Linked DNA regions of Nothobranchius furzeri. The protein of the gene in region 3 interacts with the protein of the main gene of each other region in a pairwise test. Links are inferred from orthologs where the notes say so. Each region holds a gene or a part of one and is shown on either strand. Other genes may lie near its edges. The genes, in order: keratin, type I cytoskeletal 50 kDa; meox2a; ccnc.

Region 1 (3,753 bases), on a different chromosome or scaffold from region 3:
GACGATAAACATAAACAAGTGCAGGACATTTACCAATAAAGGTCAGGATCAGAGTTATGAGGATTTGAATCAGGTTCAGCATCTATGTAAGTGTCAGGCAGGGTCAGAGTCTGCATTAAGATCAGGGTCCTGGTTGTTGTGAAGGCCACAGTCAGGATCAGGGTTAGTGTCTGGGTCTGAGTCACCACAAACGATCAATGAGCAACCATTCACCCCAGGAGCCAGAATCTTAGTTGTGCATTTGGGTGTGGCTCTGTTGGAAATCTGCATCCTCGAAGCTTCAATTAGAAAATTTTTTCTTTCTCTTAAACAAACAGAGGATTAAAGAAGCTTTCTGTTGCTTCACACCAGCACACACCTGGGCACACTTGTCCCCCCAGTATATTCTACAGGCTTGTTTCTCTGTGAAACACTTTGAGGTTCATCACTATGGCAACAGCAGCCAGGGGCATTTTCCCATAGCAAATGCCTGAGTGGGGACATTGTGAAGTGACAGGTGAGTGCTTGGGGCCGGAGGCTGTTTCAGATCCTGAAGCATCTCACTGAGAGCTCTTTGTGCTGAGAAAAGGTTTAACGCCGGCAGCAAGACAATACCAAAGTTACATCATCCGGGTCGCAGCCAGGCCAGCAAAGCTGCAGGTATTCACAAGTTCTGGTCGTTAATCACGGCTTCTGATTATTAGCTGCAGGTGAGCCCTGCATCGAGTCATTTCAATTTAATACACATACCGCCCTGCCATAACACTATGGCCACCATCAAGCAGGTCAGTTCTGACCCATCTTCTCCTGGACTCCACTGGAATTCTGAAGTTCTGATGGGATTCTGGCTCCAGCAACAGCAGATCCTTTAAGTCCTGAAAGTTCTGAGGTGGAGTTTCAATGGATCAAACTGAGATCTGCACTCAGGGGTCTGTTCCTTCAAGGGTTCTTGATGCATTTCAGCAGCTGTGCAAGACCTAGCGCATCTCTCTCTCGGGGTTTGGTGCTTCTAAAGGTCAGACATCACAGTTTGATTAAAAACTCTAGAAAACAAGAGTCAACTCCGAACATGCTGTCAGATCAGAACCCTTCCAGTTCAGCTCCTCCTAAAGGTAAAATGTTCTGATCCCCTCTGGGTTCTCCAGCTGCGGGTTGTCAGCCTGTTCCACTGTTAGCTTAGTAATCAGGAAAATATTTTTAAATGGCACAATTAAAAAATTACTGTCTTAAATGTCATAAAAACACCAATAAACTGGTGAAGAGCAGAAACAGAATCAACCTTCTCACGTTCCTTCTCTGTGGGTGTGGATCTTAGCCCTGCCCCCTCACCTGTAGCCCTGCCACCTGGAGATCTTTAAAAGCAGCAATCCGCTCCTCTTTTCCTCACTTCTCTCCTCTCTTGCTCCCGAGAAGACAGACAAGCAAGCACCTCTCCTTCTGCTTCATCATGACGACCATGATGTACTCTTCCTCCTCCTCCTCCCGGAGCTCCGGACTGGGCGGCGGTCTGGGCAGAGCATCCTTTGGATCTGGCCGAGGCATGAGCTCATTCAGTGTGGCCGGAGGGGCAGGAGGCGGTGGTGTGAGGGTCTCCCAGGCCAGCCGAAGCTTCTCTGCTGGAGGTGGAGGTTTTGGCTTTGGTGGAGGAGCTGGTGCAGGTTTTGGTGGTGGTGCAGGTGCAGGCTTTGGTGGTGGTGCAGGTGCAGGCTTTGGTGGAGGAGCAGGTGCAGGTTTTGGAGGTGGCTTTGGTGGTGGAGCTGGAGGGGATGACAGCTTAATCGGCAATGAGAAGTTCACCATGCAGAACCTGAACGACCGCCTGGCATCCTATCTGAGTAAGGTGGCGGCGCTGGAGAAAGCCAATGCCCAGCTGGAGCTGAAGATCAAAGAGTTTGCGGAGTCCAAGATCAGCCCCTCGGCCCGGGACTACAGCGCCTTCTACATCATTATTGCAGAACTTCAGGGCAAGGTAAGGATAAGGGACCAGACTCTGGTTTCAATCTGTACACAAATTCCATAAGAAGTCCAGAATGTGGAGCTTTAATCTGAACTGATTTTGTGTTACTTTCCCACAAACTTTTAGTTTTAAAAACAAAAACGGTTTGAACTGCAGCAGCTTGTCTTCCACACAAAGCACTAACAACAAAGCAGAAATCTGTTCAGTAATTTGAGGCTGTGAGAAATGACTCTGGGCTGCCAGTGACTGGACATCACTCTCAGGTGAATGACCTGTGTAAGCGATCCAGGCGAAGCTGCCACACCCAAAACACGATGACACTTAAACATTCTCATCTCACAATCAGCTTCTCTGGGGTGTTTCTTTCCTCCTCATCATCCACATTATGTTTCTATTCATTGCTTCTAATTCATGTAATGGTTGTTTACTTTTAGTAACAACATGTCACTGATTTCAGATCCAGGATGCCATCATCGCCAAAGGAACCGTCCTGCTGAGCATCGACAACGCCAAACTGGCTCAGGACGACTTCAGAATCAAGTCAGTCACTTGATCACTCCTGACATGTTTGTTTGTTTGTTTTTTTCTCTCTTTTTTAGTCTGTTTATTCTAAAGAATCAACTTTATGTTTGAAATATTTAATTATTGGTAGAATTATAACAGGAGCTCTTCCACTGGAGGTCAGAAGCAGCAGCACGCCCTCTGCTGGCTGCACTCAGCAATTTGATTTCAGGATTTATTCCAGCAGTCCCAAATTTTATTTTTGCTAAAATTTTAAAGTCCTTTAACATGTAGGAAAGAAAAAACACTTATTTTATCAATTTATTCTGAAAATTTTTAAAGATTTTCCCCTTTTAGTAAAGCTTTAGATCTTTTATAAGTAATTAAATTACTTAAGAGCCACAAAGGGATTCTGGAGAAAAAGAATTTGTTTTATGTTTTTCAGAAACTGATTGTTATTGTGTCCCAGTGTTTGTTCCTCTGATGTAATTAACTCTGGTTGTGATCCTTGGTTCTGAACTCTGTGCAGGTATGAGAACGAGTTGGCCATGCGTCAGTCGGTGGAGGCTGATATTGCCGGGCTGAAGATGCTGATGGGAGAAGTTAGCATGGCAAAGACAGACTTAAGCATGCAGATCGAGAGTCTGAAGGATGAGCTAGAATCTATGAAGAGGAACCATGAGGAGGTACCTAGACCCTAGTGGACACCGGTTGTTGGTTTTGGTGTGAATACCATCATCAGTCCCCCCCCACCCCCCTAGGATCTGGCATCCATGCGCACCCAGGTGAGCGGAACAGTGAACGTAGAAGTAGACGCTGCTCCCCAGGAAGATCTCACAAAGGTCATGGAGGAGATCAGAGAACACTACGAAGCCGTCGCTGCCAAAAGTCGCAAAGAGCTTGAGGGCTGGTTCCAGGCCAAGGTAGGACCTGGGCAAGAGGAATCATGAGACAAAACCTGCAGAGCTTCAGGTTGATGTCAATTTCTCATCCCTTCAGTCAGAGGCTCTCACCAAGGAGGTCGCCACCACAGAAATGACTCTGAAGACTTCAACAACCGAGGTGAAGGAAGTGAAGAGCCAGCTTCAGGCTCTGGAAATCGAGCTTCAGTCTCAGCTCAGCATGGTGAGAGACAGTTGTGGAGGATAAGCGGTCTGAAAGGGGTTTGGTTCATGTTCTGACTCTGTGGTCTCCTCACAGAAAGCGTCTCTAGAAGTTTCACTCAGCGATGTGCAAAACCGTTACGCCGCACGCCTCGCCCAGTACCAGTTGCAGGTGAGCTGGACTATTCCGGGGTTCTGAGTTGGCTGGTCTGA
Region 2 (3,452 bases), on a different chromosome or scaffold from region 3:
CTTTGTGGGTTCTCTAGAGTCTTGGCGGGAGTCCTGGCCCTGCCCCAGGGCCAAGGTGAATATAACATGCACCCACATCACCAGCTTTCCACACTCTGAAATGTTTAATTTATATCAGCCGGAACATTCTGGAACATGCATTCATCACCCTGGATCCACACAGACAGATGGCCGCATAAATGGAGAAAAGCCACTCATAAGGATTTACATTTTCCACTGGTTTCAGTTTTATTCAATTTGCAACTCTCTCCAAAAGATTTTATTTTAAATTTATGCTTCAGGTTATAAATCTTTTTACAAAAATCATCTCCGGGCACAAACGTGTCAGCTGAGCTGTCAGTGTTTATTACTTCATGAACTGAACAGTCTTGGTTTAGTATAACTATTAACACAAAACTGAGATTTATTTACATATCATTCATATTTTCAAGGCAAATTAGATTTCCTGGCACCTAAATGAATTAATAACTCAATTAATTGGTGAATTTCCTTTACAGTAGACACTAAGGTGCAAACTGTAAGTTCAGCAGTGCAAAACAAAGCTTTAGCCTGCTTCTCCAAACACACATGGAATGTTAACGGTTTAACTAAGTATGGTGTTCAACATGTTTTTATCAGAAGTGAGAAATCACTTCTGTGCAGTAATAATTCACTCTTCTTTGACATGTTCTCGTTTTAACTACATGGTGATTCTATTTTCAGCACTTTGTTTCTCTGTATTTGTACACTTATTTAGCGTCGTTGTAAGACGATGGCGAATCACCAGACAGCAGTCCTACAGATGGTTGTGAGGCAGAGGCTGGGCCCACAGTCCAGACAGAGCTGGGACCATTGTGTATGTGTGTGCATCATAAATGAGCGTGCTCAGAGCTTTGATCGCTGTCATGACTGTCCCCGTTGGCTAAGGAGTCCGTTGAATGGTGGAGCGCTGCAATGCCAGAGAACTCTGAAGGTAATAATGTCCCCTTTTTGACATTCACCAACTCTTTCTCTCGAGCTGCGACTCCCTGCTGGCCACCTTTCACTCGTTTCCACTTCATCCTCCGGTTCTGGAACCACACCTTTACCTGTGAGGGGAAACAGACAGAAATGTCAACATTCTGTGTCTTGGCGGTTTGTATGAATTTGGATTGTGTGATCACTGAGCAGAGGTTTTGCAGCAGTCAGATCGCAATGTGGAGAAGCAGAAAGGAATTGGGGAAGTCAAGGTGACAGCTAAACCTTGAAATGACTCATTCCAGAGAGATTTTAAGCTTCAAACTCTACATGTTCTGTCTAGATGATTGCACAAACTCTGGCAATTACATCCTGGTGCAAAACAGCCTTCAAACAACAGCTTTAGTAAAAGTGAAACAATACGAATTTTTTGTAAACCTACAAAAAATCTGAATAAATTCATCCATCCATCTGATAAATCAATTAAGAGGAGTTGATTTTTATGAAACTGCTTCACACTTGGCTGCAACTGCTCCAGGGAGAGATGAGATCATGGTACGATGAAGCCAACAAGACCACATGCAAAAAGCAGAGATCCTCTGAGCACATTTGCACCTAAAAGTCTTGTCCATAAAAGCTATGAACAGAATTGGTGTGAAAGGGCAGCCTCGGTGGAGTCTAAATCCCACTGAAATTGAGTCTGACCGATCGCACAGGGACCTAATAGCTCGTATCAAGGGGTCTGGTACTCCATACTGCTGGAGTATCCCCTACAAGATTCCCATAGGGACACATTTAATTGCCTTCTCCATATCCACAAAACACACCAGACTGGTTGGGCAAACTCCCACGCACCCTCCAGGACCCCCTAAGGGTATAGAGCTCGTCCAGTGTTCCACACCCAGGACGAAAACCACATTGCTCCTCCTGAATCTGAGGTTCAATAATCCGATGGACCCTCATCTGCTCCCCAAAACCCCCGAATAGACCTTGCCAAGGAGGCTCAGGAATGTGATCCCCCTTTGGCTTTTTTTTTAATGGGGGACCACCACCACGGTCTGCTAATCCAACGAACCTTCTCCGATGTCCATGTAATGTTGCAGAGTTGCGTCAAACAACTCAGCTCCACAACATCCACAGCCCTAAGGATCTGGTTGGATCTCATCTACCCATGAGGCCCTGCCACTGAGGAACTTTTTGGCCACCTCAGTGACCTCGTATCCAGAGACTGGAGAGCTCTACCCAGAGTCCCCAGACTCCATTTCCTCACTGGAAGAATTGAGGAGGCCTTTGAAGTACTCTGCTCACCAGTCCACATTGTTGCAAGTCAAGGTCAGCAGTGTACTATCTAACCATAAAAAGTATGGGCCATGCTTTGCTTCTCCTTCCTGACACACTGAATGGTGAACCAGAATGGCCTCGAAGCCTTGCAGAAGTCTTGTTTTCCTGAATGGAATTCATTCCACTTGGACTGCTAGCACCTGTCAGCTGCCTTTGAAGTCCCACAGGCCAGAAAGACCCAATAGGACTCTTTCAGCTTGACAGCATCCATCACCATCAGTGTCCACCAGTGGGTTGGAAGGTTACCACTGTGACAGGCACAGGCAACCTTGCAGTCACAGCTCTAGCCAGTCTCTACAATGGAGGCACACAACATGGCCCACTTGATTTCAGTCTCCCCTGCCTCCCCTGGAACTTTGTCAGAGGTGGGAATTGAAGCTCCTTCTGGCAGGAGACTCCAACACAGGATGTCAGCAGACCCTCACATTACATTTGAGCCTGCCAAGTCCTCCCCCACCACCAAAGCCCACTCACCACAAGGTAGAGGTGAGTTGACAGCTCTGTCCCTCTCTTCATCTGAGTGTCCAAAATATGTGGCCACAGATCAGAAGAGACTACAACAAAGTTGATCACTGAGCTGCAGCCTAAGGAATCCTGATGCAAGAAAACATATGGATGGACTGGAACATTTATTCAGCCTGTGAATATCGCTATACGGGTGATGTGGGGGTGGGTGGCACCAGCCTGGAGCAGACCGGCTGTTCTGTGATTCTCCAGGGCCCCCATATGGCCAGTCCACCAATGAAAATAATCATCCTTATGCTTGAACATTGAGATCCACATCAAGGAAGCCAGTTTCTGTAGCCAAGGATCAGACCACCAAGGTCCTTGCCTCAGCTCAGTGGCCCAGTAGTAGAGTGTCCTCCCTAAGACTGGGAGATCAGGGTTCAATTCCTGGTCGGGTCATACTAAAGACCTTGAAAAAATGGGACCCAATGCCTCACTGCTTGGCACTCAGCATTTAAGCGTTGGATTGGGGGGTTAAACCACCAACTGGTTCCCAAGCACAGCTGTGTCTGCAGCTCACCGCTTCCCCAGGGGATGGGTCAAATGCGGAGAACAAATTTTGCACACATATCAGTGTGTGTGTGACAACTAATGGGACTTTAACTTAACTTGACTTTAACTTTAACTTTGGCCACTGCCCGTCTCACACAGCACCTAAAACCTTTGTC
Region 3 (3,753 bases):
TTATTAAGACGTAAGTTTGTGTTTATAATGGTATTTGTAAAATAAAACACTATATTGTATTCATGATGTTGAACTCCTCTTTGAGCACATCCCTTGAAGGATCATAGGTATTAGCAACACCTGTGAAATTGTATTTGCAGGAAAGAAGTGTGTCCCGTTTATTGAAGTATTTTGTGTTTAGAGTTTTTGACGTCTTGTCCATGCGTAGTTCAGTTACGCTCATAGCTGCTAGCCAAAACTCTGGAGTTAAAAGTTTTCTGGCTTTACTAAAATACCTGTCTGTACTTATTTGATTGATGGTAGTTTTACTTTCTATTAGACTCCAAATGTAATCATTTGGCACGTTTCTAATTCATAATTTGTAAGCATGTAATCGGTGATATTAGCATTAGCATTCCTATGGGTTTTTCCATGTATATTAGCATTGCGCTAACCACTCGCTGCCAAATTGCAGCCTTTGAGATTAGAAAATCTCCTTTTGTCACATCGCAATTTAATTGCACATGCAGTTAATCGTTCAGCCCTAATATACATGCAGCTCTATGCTAAAAGTGTATTTTCATAGAGGTAATGATGGATTTCTTTGTAAAAGTTGTCCATCTTTCCAACAGAAAGATTTACCTGGACCAACGTAACGTGATAACAACGTAACGTGATTACGTAATTGCTTAAGGTTCATGTTCAGCCAATCAACTACTTAGACGTCATCGGCAGTCGACGGACCCCGAGCCGATCCTGTACCGACACCACCCTTTTCTAGTTTGCATTTTCATAGCTTGCAACAGCACAAAAACTTGACATTATAAGTTGATTAAAGAGTAAATCAAAGCTGAATGATAAGAATTAACCTGTATGTTTAAGTGGGAGGATTGGAATTATTTCAGGTTTATGTGTTGATTCTAGTGTTGTCAAAAAAATCGATACCTAGATATAAACGATGCTAAAAGTGGTATCTAAATGAGATATTCCATCCCTGTGGTATCGATATTATGGACTATTATACACAGCCTTCTTCAAGTACACCGACACGCACGACAGCCAGATGCCGTAAAGCAGCCTCCGCCTCCCAGACAAACAGAAGAAGAAGGCGCCGCATGGCTACATTGCAATTTCCCACGCGAGTTGTCTCCGATCCAAGTTTTGTCTGCCAAATAAATAAACAAAAACATAAACAGTGAATTTGGGAGGCGCTTCACAGCCCAACTTAATTAGCATACCAAGTCCGCCACGTAGTTGTATATTCACGCTTATGTGCTTAAAGGAAACTCCCGTTTATTGCAACCCGGACTTAATTTCTAGCATGCAGTACGTTTGTTTACTCACGCCGACAACTTTGGTGCTACTTGGATTCCCCGGGGTATTTACCGTAGATCCATCGCCGAATCGCCGTCAGTGTATATCCATATAACGGGTGCGGACGGGCACCCATGGTGCAGCCTCGAAATAAGACATTATCTGCACCAAAACATCTTCATGTCGAAAGGTTTTGTTAGGAATCATTAACGTGATTCCCCTGTTCGTTTGGAGCGGGTCTGGGATTTCTAGGCGTAAACAGACTAGCCGCGGCTAATCTAACCAGCGCTTTTAATGACGTCACTGCCGTGCGCCAGTCTGTTTTTATTAAGATTACCGGTGGATGTACCTTTGTCCTACTGTGGAGAAATTCGTTTTCTCCCTTTATTGACCAACAGAGTTGTTCAAAAGTACAGAACAAAACATATGACGTTACATCTTATGACAAAAATGCACCTTAAACAGAGTTTAAGCAGCAAAACATCACTCTGCAAATAGTGTATATATAGTGAGACAATTCATGATTTAAAGTGTTAACTTTCGCCAGTTTTTGTATGCACGTTTAAAAAAAATGCTGATACTTGAAAGGTTTAAGCACGTTACACACTTAATTCTTAACATTTAATTTCTGCAATATAAATGGAGGAATGTTATTTTTTGAATAAACTTGTTCAATAAATTGGTGTTTTTAAATAGTATCGAAATCGAGTATCGAGTCCCCCCCCCGTATCGAATCGAGTTTGAAATTTTAATATCGTGACAATCCGAGTTGATTCTGTAAGTAAAATAAAACACCGCGAGTTAAAAAGACACTAAGGTTTTTAAAGAGCCTGAGCTGGTGATGGCATCAACATTGATCTCCATCATTACCTGAGACAGCTTCTCACCTGGCATAGAAGCGTTTAAAGTAGACTGTTGCTGTGGCGATGACCTGCTGTCTCAGCTTCAGGTGCTCACCTAAAGCCTGGATCACTGGAAAAAAAAAACATAGAAACGTGATATGTTCAAGGGAAATGCACTAACTGTATCTACAGCTACACATAAACGAGCTTCTGAAGTAAACACGTTATTACAGGTGATTTTAAAAGTTACCATTTGCAAAGAAAATCTGCAGCTTCCAGTACTCCTCTTCTGTGAGGAATTTCAGGTCCTTCTGGCGCTCTTTCATTAGGTCTTGTTTATCCAGAACCCACTGAAGGCTAAATAAAAAATAAGACATAAACCAAACGCGAACAACACAACAGAAAGAGGCACGATACGAATGGTCAAACAATTAAAAAGGAACTTCCATCTTTGTAAAAAACTGGTACTTTTAATTTATCTGTCTATTGCATCTATTCAATAAATTAAAACTTACGGTGGGAATAAACTAAAGTGTTAGCTCGAACAGTCGCAACAAGCAAGGCCTCACAACAAAAGCGATGAATTAAAACATTTGGACGTAACAGGTCTGATAATTATGGCAACTTACTAATGTGAACTCTGCCAAAAGTTCCCCGCCATGTCGTTTCGGTTTGAAGACGGAAAAAATAATTGTATTTAATGTTTTAACCTACAAAACCAGCGAATACAAAAGAAAAGTAGTTTTGCTAGCAAACGCTGGTGTAACACCAAAGACCTACCGGGTAGCTTAGAAATATGGTTCCGGGGTTGCAGTCGCGCTGGTTTCCCTTTATTTATTTATTTATTTATTTATTTATTTATTTATTTATTTATAAACGTGGAATTAAATAATTTGTTAAAAAAATAATAAAATAAAAGAAAAGAAAGAAAGAGAAAAGAAAACATGGCTTATAATTGTGTAAGTCAACAACAACAATAATAAAAACAATACTAACATGAAAACATTGTATAAATGTATAATTACACAACAGAACGTGTCACTAAACATGTAAAGCGCTTGGGCTTCCTGACAGGGTTGCGGAAGGCGCTTTATAAATAAAGCTTTGATTGATTGATTGATTGATTGATTGATTAAAAAACAAGCTGAAAACTTTAAAATATTATTTGTGTACAAAATATGTTTTTTTCTAACGTAGGATATGCGTTTAATCAGCCATTCCTTTTCAACAGCAGTTATTGCTTGTGGTATAATTTAGCTGCAGTAATATAACTAGATTCATATTTGTTTTGATTGCATAAGACTAAACATTCTCAAATTAAACCTTTAAGAGGTCAGCAGAGTAATTTACCCTGAGTGTATTATTTTTTTCTACAGTCTATAAGCTGCATTAATCATGACCTCGACAGATGTTTGTGGGGACTTCGCCCTCTGGAATGGGAGGGTCCAGCATTCCTCTGTGGTGGTGAGGGAATAGGTGAGAAGAGTATGAAAATCCTCCACCATACAACAACTGAGTGAGCGTTCTTCACTCCTCAGCAGAACTTAAATCAGTTAAAACGCCATCAAGATGAGCCAAAGTCCAGAGAGGACGTCTTCCTATCGCTGTCATTTCGAAG

Evidence for each region.
Region 1: the proteins of ccnc (region 3) and keratin, type I cytoskeletal 50 kDa interact in a two-hybrid assay, tested with the Homo sapiens proteins (2 studies listed by BioGRID and IntAct). The two-hybrid records come from large-scale screens. The link is inferred for Nothobranchius furzeri from reciprocal best matches to the Homo sapiens genes CCNC and KRT13.
Region 2: the proteins of ccnc (region 3) and meox2a interact in binary tests that used the Homo sapiens proteins (3 or more experiments, as listed by UniProt). The two-hybrid records come from large-scale screens. The link is inferred for Nothobranchius furzeri from reciprocal best matches to the Homo sapiens genes CCNC and MEOX2.

The regions. Positions count from the first base shown.
Region 1 is NC_091745.1:30,568,511-30,572,263, reverse strand, and holds the start of keratin, type I cytoskeletal 50 kDa, read left to right. Parts: upstream 1-1,283; 5' UTR 1,284-1,426; coding exon 1,427-1,948; intron 1,949-2,393; coding exon 2,394-2,476; intron 2,477-2,966; coding exon 2,967-3,123; intron 3,124-3,198; coding exon 3,199-3,360; intron 3,361-3,436; coding exon 3,437-3,562; intron 3,563-3,637; coding exon 3,638-3,712; intron 3,713-3,753.
Region 2 is NC_091745.1:64,680,788-64,684,239, forward strand, and holds part of meox2a (homeobox protein MOX-2), read right to left. Parts: intron 1,068-3,452; coding exon 849-1,067; 3' UTR 1-848. UniProt on the Homo sapiens protein: Mesodermal transcription factor that plays a key role in somitogenesis and somitogenesis and limb muscle differentiation. Required during limb development for normal appendicular muscle formation and for the normal regulation of myogenic genes.
Region 3 is NC_091742.1:26,778,677-26,782,429, reverse strand, and holds the start of ccnc (cyclin-C), read right to left. Parts: upstream 2,914-3,753; 5' UTR 2,797-2,913; coding exon 2,765-2,796; intron 2,493-2,764; coding exon 2,386-2,492; intron 2,266-2,385; coding exon 2,181-2,265; intron 1-2,180. UniProt on the Homo sapiens protein: Component of the Mediator complex, a coactivator involved in regulated gene transcription of nearly all RNA polymerase II-dependent genes.